Linked DNA regions of Schizosaccharomyces pombe. Each later gene encodes a partner of the first gene's protein in a complex. Each region holds a gene or a part of one and is shown on either strand. Other genes may lie near its edges.

Region 1 (4,605 bases):
CTAACTTAGCATTCGTAAATGTGTCTCTAGTTTAGTCCGCCATGACAACGTTACTATTGTCAGCAAGCTTGGAAGCTACACTCTGTTTTGGCTGTCCAATATTCACCGCAGCTTCTGCTTCTTCTTGTGTATACGGCTCTTCACGCAAATTTTTTAACCTTCGTTTGTGAACCTTTCCCTTCTTATGCACCAGCAATGCTTGAGACGAGTCAAAGTACCGTGCACATTCAATGCAATAATGTTGACCTAAACCTGGCAAATCCGGATCTATAGGTAATTTATCAAATTTCTCAGACTCTGTTAAGTCATTGTGAATCTGATCTAAGTCTCTATTTGTCCAATTGTTAATTTACCAAACGATGATTGAATGACCATGAAATTTGCATACCTCCCATAAACACGAGTTCTAAACAAAGCATGATTTCCATTGCTATGATGCTTTCTTTTTCTGGCAACTCTTCCCATTGTCCGTCACTTCAAACAAACCCGTTTACCACAATTACAATGTTAGTTGCAAAGGATAAACTTTTTTAAGCGTAAACACATTCAATATCCAAACGGCGTAATGTGTGCTATATCGTATAGTGAAAAATAATTCTCAAATAATCTTATTTTCCTATCGTAGTTTGCGATAAGTTTAATAACGAGAAGGAAAGCCTCGTTATATAGTTGAAAAGCAAGAGAAATGTATTAGATATGTATTATTGATTGTTCTGAATAGCTCAAGTAGCGTAAATTTTTTAATAAATAAATATTCGTTCAAAATTTGGGAGAGCATGGTCAAAGCAAGTTGAAATGCATGCCTTTGAAATTGCGCTTTTTAAGCGACGATTGCTCCATCGTTTGACAAAACTTTGTAATTTAAGGGATGTTTAGCATCGGAATTTATTAGGGAAAATTGCTTTAGGCGTGATTCTTAGTACATGGCAACTATAGAAGAAATGAATTAACATTCAGTAGCTTTCTGGCTTTAACTGCCACTATTTCATCAAAGTCTCGACAAGTTGACGTTTAGTCGAAGGAAAGAAAGTATTCACGTAGCGAGATCAGAGTCCGCTTATCAGCAAGGAAAAAATTGAGCTCTCCATTTAGACTGCTATACTGAAGTGTGAGCAATTTTAGTGACATTTAGTTTTACAAAAGGAGCTTGATTGCTCGAACTCAAAAGATTCAATTAACCACGAAGGGGTTCTTGGCAGTGAGGTTGTAATTATTTCTTTTTTATTTTATCTTTATTTGACTTTTGTTTTTTCCCAAAGAATAATTGCAATGTTCAATTAGTTTTGAATTTGAAAAACCTCATATGGGTAAAAAATCACTCGGTCGAAAAAGACAGTAAAAATTTATTAGTTAATTTCGTAAGATGGGGCGCGAATTAAAGAAAGTTGCTAGTTATCATGTAATAACATAATTGAAACCCTCGATTCGACAAGTATGCAGACAGCAAAACGAATGCACGTACTAAACAAATAGTAAGCCATTTTTTGTAAAATGAAAATGTGAATCAATAAACAAATAACTTTGCCTATCTCAATTCAAACGTGTTTTTTTAAAATATATCTATCGATTTGTAATAGGCAAATTGTTTATTGCAGCTATCTCCAAGCTTGCTTAATCACATGTTCAAAGATGCAAAGCCCAGCATATCCGTGTAGCATATGTTTTCATTCAAAAAAGTAATAATATCCTAAAAACATATTTAAAACAAGCTATCAATTTTAATTTTTTCCCTATAAACAAACGTATGCTATATGAACATGTGTACCTAAATTTTTTTCGACCAAGATTTATAGACTCTATGTTTGAAAGAGATCTTTTTGTCCATATCGATAAACTAAGACTGCTTGAAGGGCAGATGCTGACATCTGCAGAGCAGGAAAAGAAGTATGCGTACTTCGTAAAGACTTGAGTACTGAACGTAGGGTCGATATATCTTCTCCATTCAAAAGCTCAGGAAGTTTATAACAAAAGCAAAAAATCCATTGACTCTAGAAAAATGTTAGCAAATTTTAGAATGAACAAAAATACACCAGCAAAGTAGCATGAGATCCTTGTTACCAACCTGTAAATCAATTGCGTCCTTTTCAAGCCAGCTGGACAAGCTTTCTAGGATCTCCAAAACAGTTGCCAAATCAACCACTGCTAATATGGCCCAACAAGGAGCTTTATGCTCAATATATACACGCCATTGTTGTAAATTTTTAGGTAAAATAGATGCGTCCAATGAAGAAGATTCCATATATTGCTCAAGCCTTTCCCCTTCTTTATCAATTATGTTTAGTAAGTATCGTAAAAACGGGTCAAAGCTTTTTTTGCCGGCCTCGATTTCCAATTTGCGAAGAGGAATGGTTTCTCTTGTTTCAGGCTCACGACGCGCCGCTACAAATGGAACTAGCTTGCGAGCTTCTTCTCTGAACTTGTCAGTAAAAAGCCCAATTATTGTTACAATGATTAGATTAAAGCATTCATGTTGCAAATTTCGATTTTCACAAAAATTCATATATAAATGTTCGTACCTCACAGTTGCTAAATAATCTAAACCATCAAGTGGTATATCATATTCCAAAGATTCTGAAGCACTATTGTTGTCGATTTGTGGAAAAGCGCTGCGTTGATTTGTTTCCTCATCTAATGATCCTGAAGTCTGATATTGTAAAGGATTTCTTTTTCTTTTCGAGGGCATTTTGAATTATTATTGTACAATTGCAAACTTCTCATATAAACCAAATGGAAAAGAATTACCGAATTTTCATGAAAATACTCAAGGAATGTAGGCTGTTTTTTTCCGGCAACTTTTCGTTTGTAGTTAGTTAACAAGGAATGTTTCGTAAATCGAAGATTACCCTAGTATAATAGAATGGTAAGGTTAAAGAGGTATCTGTAGAACTATCAATGTGAAGAGTCTATCTTGATCAAGTGTAATGCTAAAACTAATTTTAGCTATTTCTTGATAATTCCTTTACTATCATAAAATTTATTACTTGTTCTTATTTTCAAAGAAGTTCAAAGTTTTGCATTTTTTTGAAGTGTATAAGAAGCTAAAACTGGGAGAATATTCACTCAGACAGAATTGCCTATCCTTGAACTAATTTAATAAACATAAAACATATAGATATGTAGGAAATTGTACTATTCATTCTTCTGTCAACGCAAGTAACACCATCTGCGGCCACTTAATCAGGCACTTACTCTACACAATATACAGATCAGTGCTTTATCCCCAAATCCCATTGTTCATTGGTGAATTGGTGTTTTGAGCAGCACATATGCCCATTCTAACATGCAGATATAAAATTCTGTTTCTTTATAATTTACGGAATTGCTTTACTTTTCAAAATCAGCGATGTCTCATACCATATGGAACAACCACTACCATTAGGTGGTATAATGCAAATTTTCAAGCTGTTCAAAACAACTTTTCTGATTATAAAAACGAATTGATCTCTTCACATCGTCCAGAAGCTTCCAGTTTACTCGACTTTTTGGTAAAGGATCAAAAGAAAAGTGGTGATATTAGTTTGCATACAAAATTTAATCTATATGTGGACGATTTATTGAAAAAGAGCGAAAAAGGACAAATTAAAAAATTTATTAATGATATTAAAAAAGATTTGGCTACGGAATCTCAGCTTCCATTGTCTGCGCCATTCAAAGATGAATCTACTCGGACTATGACAGATCCCCAAGTTTTAGCTTATATTCATCAGTCTATGCCGTATCAATATGCTTCTCTATACAGCGTATTGACTGACTTGAAAATTGTAAACAGTGATGTGTCTTGCAAGTCTCAACATATACTGGATTGCGGTAAAGGTCCAGGTATTGGTGCTCTAGCTAGTTATTCAGTCTTTCCCACACCTAATTCAGTTTCAATTGTTGAGGAGAACCCATTTTTGAAAAAAATCATATATGATATTCACCATAACATTTACCCGTCAACTTCGCCGAATCCAACTAGCCCTGTTACGCTTAACCGTCTACCATTGGGTAAAAAGGATTCATACACTCTAGTTATTGCATCTAACAAGCTTCTTGAAATGAAATCGGAGAAAGAACTCTTTGATTATCTTCGTTCGCTTTGGAGTCTCGTGTCAAATGATGGTGGTCTTTTGGTGCTCTGCGAGCGAGGCACAAAGCGTGGCTTTAGTTTGATTCAAAGAGCTAGAACATTTCTATTGCAAAAAAGTAAAAATACTTCTGATAAACAATTCAATGCCCATATTGTAGCACCCTGTCCCCACGATGGTCGCTGCCCCATTGATATAGAAAATGGGGTAAGAGCAAATATTTGTTCTTTCAAACAACATTTTTTCCTATCCCCATTTTCCCGTCTATATGTCCCTCGTTCTCATCGTCGATCCTCGGATCGCTCTCATTACAGTTATGTTGTTATTCAAAAGGGTATAACTAGACCGCTTAATAATACCACACAAAGGTTCAAGAATGATGAGGATTTACTAGAAAATGTGAATGTTACATCTCCAACTCTTAAAAACTGGCCACGTATAATTCGACCTCCACTGAAGCGAGATGGACATGTCATAATTGATGTCTGTGATAGCGATGCTCGGCTTAGAAGGAATATTGTTCCTAAATCACAAGGTA
Region 2 (3,146 bases), on another chromosome or scaffold:
GAAGATGCTAACGACTTAGAAATAAATTGCTTGGCCAGCATTTTTACAACGTTTTAAAGAGAAACAGGTTGTTGAAATATTCGGTGGGTAGCGGTTGGGGAAGAAACGTCAAGCTGCCTCTGGTTTAAAAATGGCGGCGTTTGTGGGTGCTGTGATTTGCTAAGAAGGTTAGTTGTATTTACCGAATTCACCGATTGATGAAACTACATATCCGAAGTTCTCCGAAAAATAACGAAGTACACAATAAAAAATTAACATAATTTTACAGCTACTTTTAACGATCAGTACAGTATAGTGCTAGACTGTGCAGTACATATATCATCACGAATCGAAAATCCTATATCTTTCAAATTCCAATATTATGGTACGCTAGAGATCATTTTGTTTTATCAGATATAATTTTCCAGTCTATTTTACTAGGTTCCGTATAAGAACATAGCTGGATTTACGTTCTTCCGTCCAGCTATAAACTATTTGGAGATTATAATATTATCCAATATTTAGATGTTTACAGTAGTATCATTCATCACTTTACAAGGTACAGCACCTGCATAAAACAATACAACAGTATTAGATTGAAAATTATCGTATTCTTTCACTAGCCTTAATTATTTTAAGGAATTGGTATATATCATTAATCATAGTTCAATGTAGAAGAAATGCAATATACTTATGTATAATGTATTCATGAAGATTGGTGACATTTATTGAATATTAAGCGTATCCTTCATTAATATGCAGGAAATTTTTCTACTCTATTGAACATCATCAATTCATAAAACGTTCTATCCTCGTATTGGTGTTGCCGGCCAATATTTGATAGGTAATGCAGTAAACTTGCGAAAAATATTATCAAGTATTTTTTCTTCCTCTAAAATTTCATAAGCCGAGTAATGGAACTGGTTTTGATATATTTCGATATCTTTCAATTCTTTTAATGAGATTGGTGTTTTTGGGTTGGTTTCTGGTTTGGAAGAAACCATTCTCTCCTTGTCCAGTGCTTTTTGTCTTAATTCTTTTTCTTTTAACAATTGCTCCTTCTCCTTTTTCCACATTAACTCCCTTTTTTCCGATTCACGGAACCAAAGAATTTGCTCATCTGTTAACGTTCGTATAGTCCCATCAGGATAGCGCTCTACACTTTGTGTATACTCAACGTTTGCACTTTCTGAATTTCCCCCACGATCGTTTTGCGCGAAAGCAACATTCCATAGGTTTACTGCTTTTGCATTAAAATGCTCATCATGGAATTTCTGTAAGTCTCCTTCTGTAATTTCAGAACTCATTAAAAGTTCCGTGGTTTTACACAATATTGGATTCAGTAAGGATTACTTTGCTAGTTGTAACAAGTTGCGATGAAATCAATTTGATGAACGAGCAAAGCTACGCTAGAACATTTAATGAATCACCCAAATTAAAATACTGTATCGTAGTGAATTTGATAACCCAATTAAAGCAAAACAAGGTAATACGTTAGGATTATACTAACAACGCAAACTTACAAGATGAGTAGTTTCTTTAAGAATTTAGCGATCCTTAATATTTGATGTACTTTATGGAATGGCCGTAAGTATATTTTTCTTGCTCCCTTCGACTAATCTCTCAGACTTTGACCAACTTGGAGCCTTTGGCAACGTATGTTTTTCAGATTTCCAGTTACTTTTACTAACATTATAGGGGGACTGTCATCCTTAAAACTACTCGCGGCGATATCCAGATAGAACTTTGGTGCAAAGAAGTGCCGAAGGCCTGTAGAAACTTTATACAGTTATGCTTGGAAGGGTAAGTTAAATCGTTGATGAGCAACGTTGTAGTCCCAAATGTTGCAACATTAAACTGCTTCGGGTTTACAAATATACTAATTAAATACAGTTATTACGATGGAACCATTGTTCATAGAGTTGTACCAGAGTTTTTGATACAGGGTGGAGATCCTACTGGCACTGGAATGGGTGGTGAATCTATATATGGTGAACCTTTTGCTGTAGAAACACATCCTAGGTTACGGTTTATAAGAAGAGGATTAGTGGGAATGGCATGTACTGAAAATGAGGGAAACAACTCTCAATTTTTTATCACCTTAGGTCCAACACCTGAATGGAATGGCAAGCAAACTCTATTTGGACGTGTTGTAGGGGATACCATTTACAATGTAGTAAGGATATCTGAGTTAGAGTTAGATGCCAACCAACGACCTGTTTTTCCCCCAAAAATAATTTCAACAGAGGTAATTGACAATTATTTTACTGACATAAAACCTCGTTCAACTAAAGAAGAAAGAGAGAAAATTGCCAATGAGCTAGCCCACCAGGAAAAACAGAAAGAAAGAAACAAATTATTGAAATCCGGACGACGAAATAAAGCAGTTCTCAGTTTTGGCGATGAAGTCGATATGCCTATTGTAAAAAAGCCGCTCAGGCAGAAAACGCCAGTATCCAGATCATCTGATACTACGACTGAGTTAAGTAAAGATTTGATTTCATCTTCATCCTCAATTCACAGTACTTACTCGTCTGCCCAAACTGGATTGACCTCTGCTAAAGTCTCTTCCGATGAATATGCTAGGCAAGTAGACACTTTAGATACAAAGTTAAATTCTTCCTCTAAGTCCAAGGTACAAGAAGAAATTTCCCGTTTGAAGTCTGAACTTCGTGACTTAGAAAAAAGTGGTGGCTCTTCAAACTCGAAACCCGTGGTTGTACGTCCTAAAAAACGGAACATCTTGACTGAGGAACTTGAAAAGTATAAAAAATCCAAAAAAGTTGTCTTAGGGAAGCGAAAAAACTTGGAGAATGACGAAGAGTCGACCCTTCGAGCACTTTCATCATTTCAAAGCAAGATTCGAAATGCAGAAGATGAAGATGTCATGGATAGTCAATATGGTAGCAAAATAGAAGACACACCTTGCAGCTTACACAATGTTCCTGGTTGCTTTTCATGTTTTGATAGGCTTGGCGAAAAAAATATAACAGAAACGAACAGCAACTGGTTTGCGCATCGATTGGTGGCTGAAAATGATCCAACAAGAAGAACGGAAGAACTTCGAATACAACGAGCAGAAGAGCTTAAAGATGTTCCAAGTGCTAGGCCTAAGAAGCTTTTAATGAAACGCGATATAATTTAATGTTTTACAAAGAAAAAAAAAC

Evidence for each region.
Region 2: yip11 (region 1) and gem8 share a complex: the UniProt entries of both Schizosaccharomyces pombe proteins name them as parts of the core SMN complex.

The regions. Positions count from the first base shown.
Region 1 is NC_003424.3:4,903,712-4,908,316, forward strand, and holds yip11 (SMN complex subunit Yip11/Gem2), read right to left. Parts: upstream 2,684-4,605; coding exon 2,517-2,683; exon of another isoform or gene 2,412-2,516; coding exon 2,063-2,411; exon of another isoform or gene 1,989-2,062; coding exon 1,797-1,988; 3' UTR 510-1,796; downstream 1-509. Other genes in the region: bud20 (zinc finger ribosome biogenesis protein), read right to left, coding at 32-329, 389-465; rsm22-cox11 tandem protein cox1102, read left to right, coding at 3,267-4,605. UniProt on the Schizosaccharomyces pombe protein: The SMN complex catalyzes the assembly of small nuclear ribonucleoproteins (snRNPs), the building blocks of the spliceosome, and thereby plays an important role in the splicing of cellular pre-mRNAs.
Region 2 is NC_003423.3:2,290,018-2,293,163, forward strand, and holds gem8 (protein gem8), read right to left. Parts: upstream 1,324-3,146; 5' UTR 1,287-1,323; coding exon 786-1,286; 3' UTR 578-785; downstream 1-577. Other genes in the region: Rieske iron-sulfur protein, ubiquinol-cytochrome-c reductase complex subunit 5, Rip1, read right to left, coding at 1-41; cyclophilin family peptidyl-prolyl cis-trans isomerase Cyp7, read left to right, coding at 1,561-1,566, 1,607-1,635, 1,678-1,782, 1,873-3,124. UniProt on the Schizosaccharomyces pombe protein: The SMN complex catalyzes the assembly of small nuclear ribonucleoproteins (snRNPs), the building blocks of the spliceosome, and thereby plays an important role in the splicing of cellular pre-mRNAs.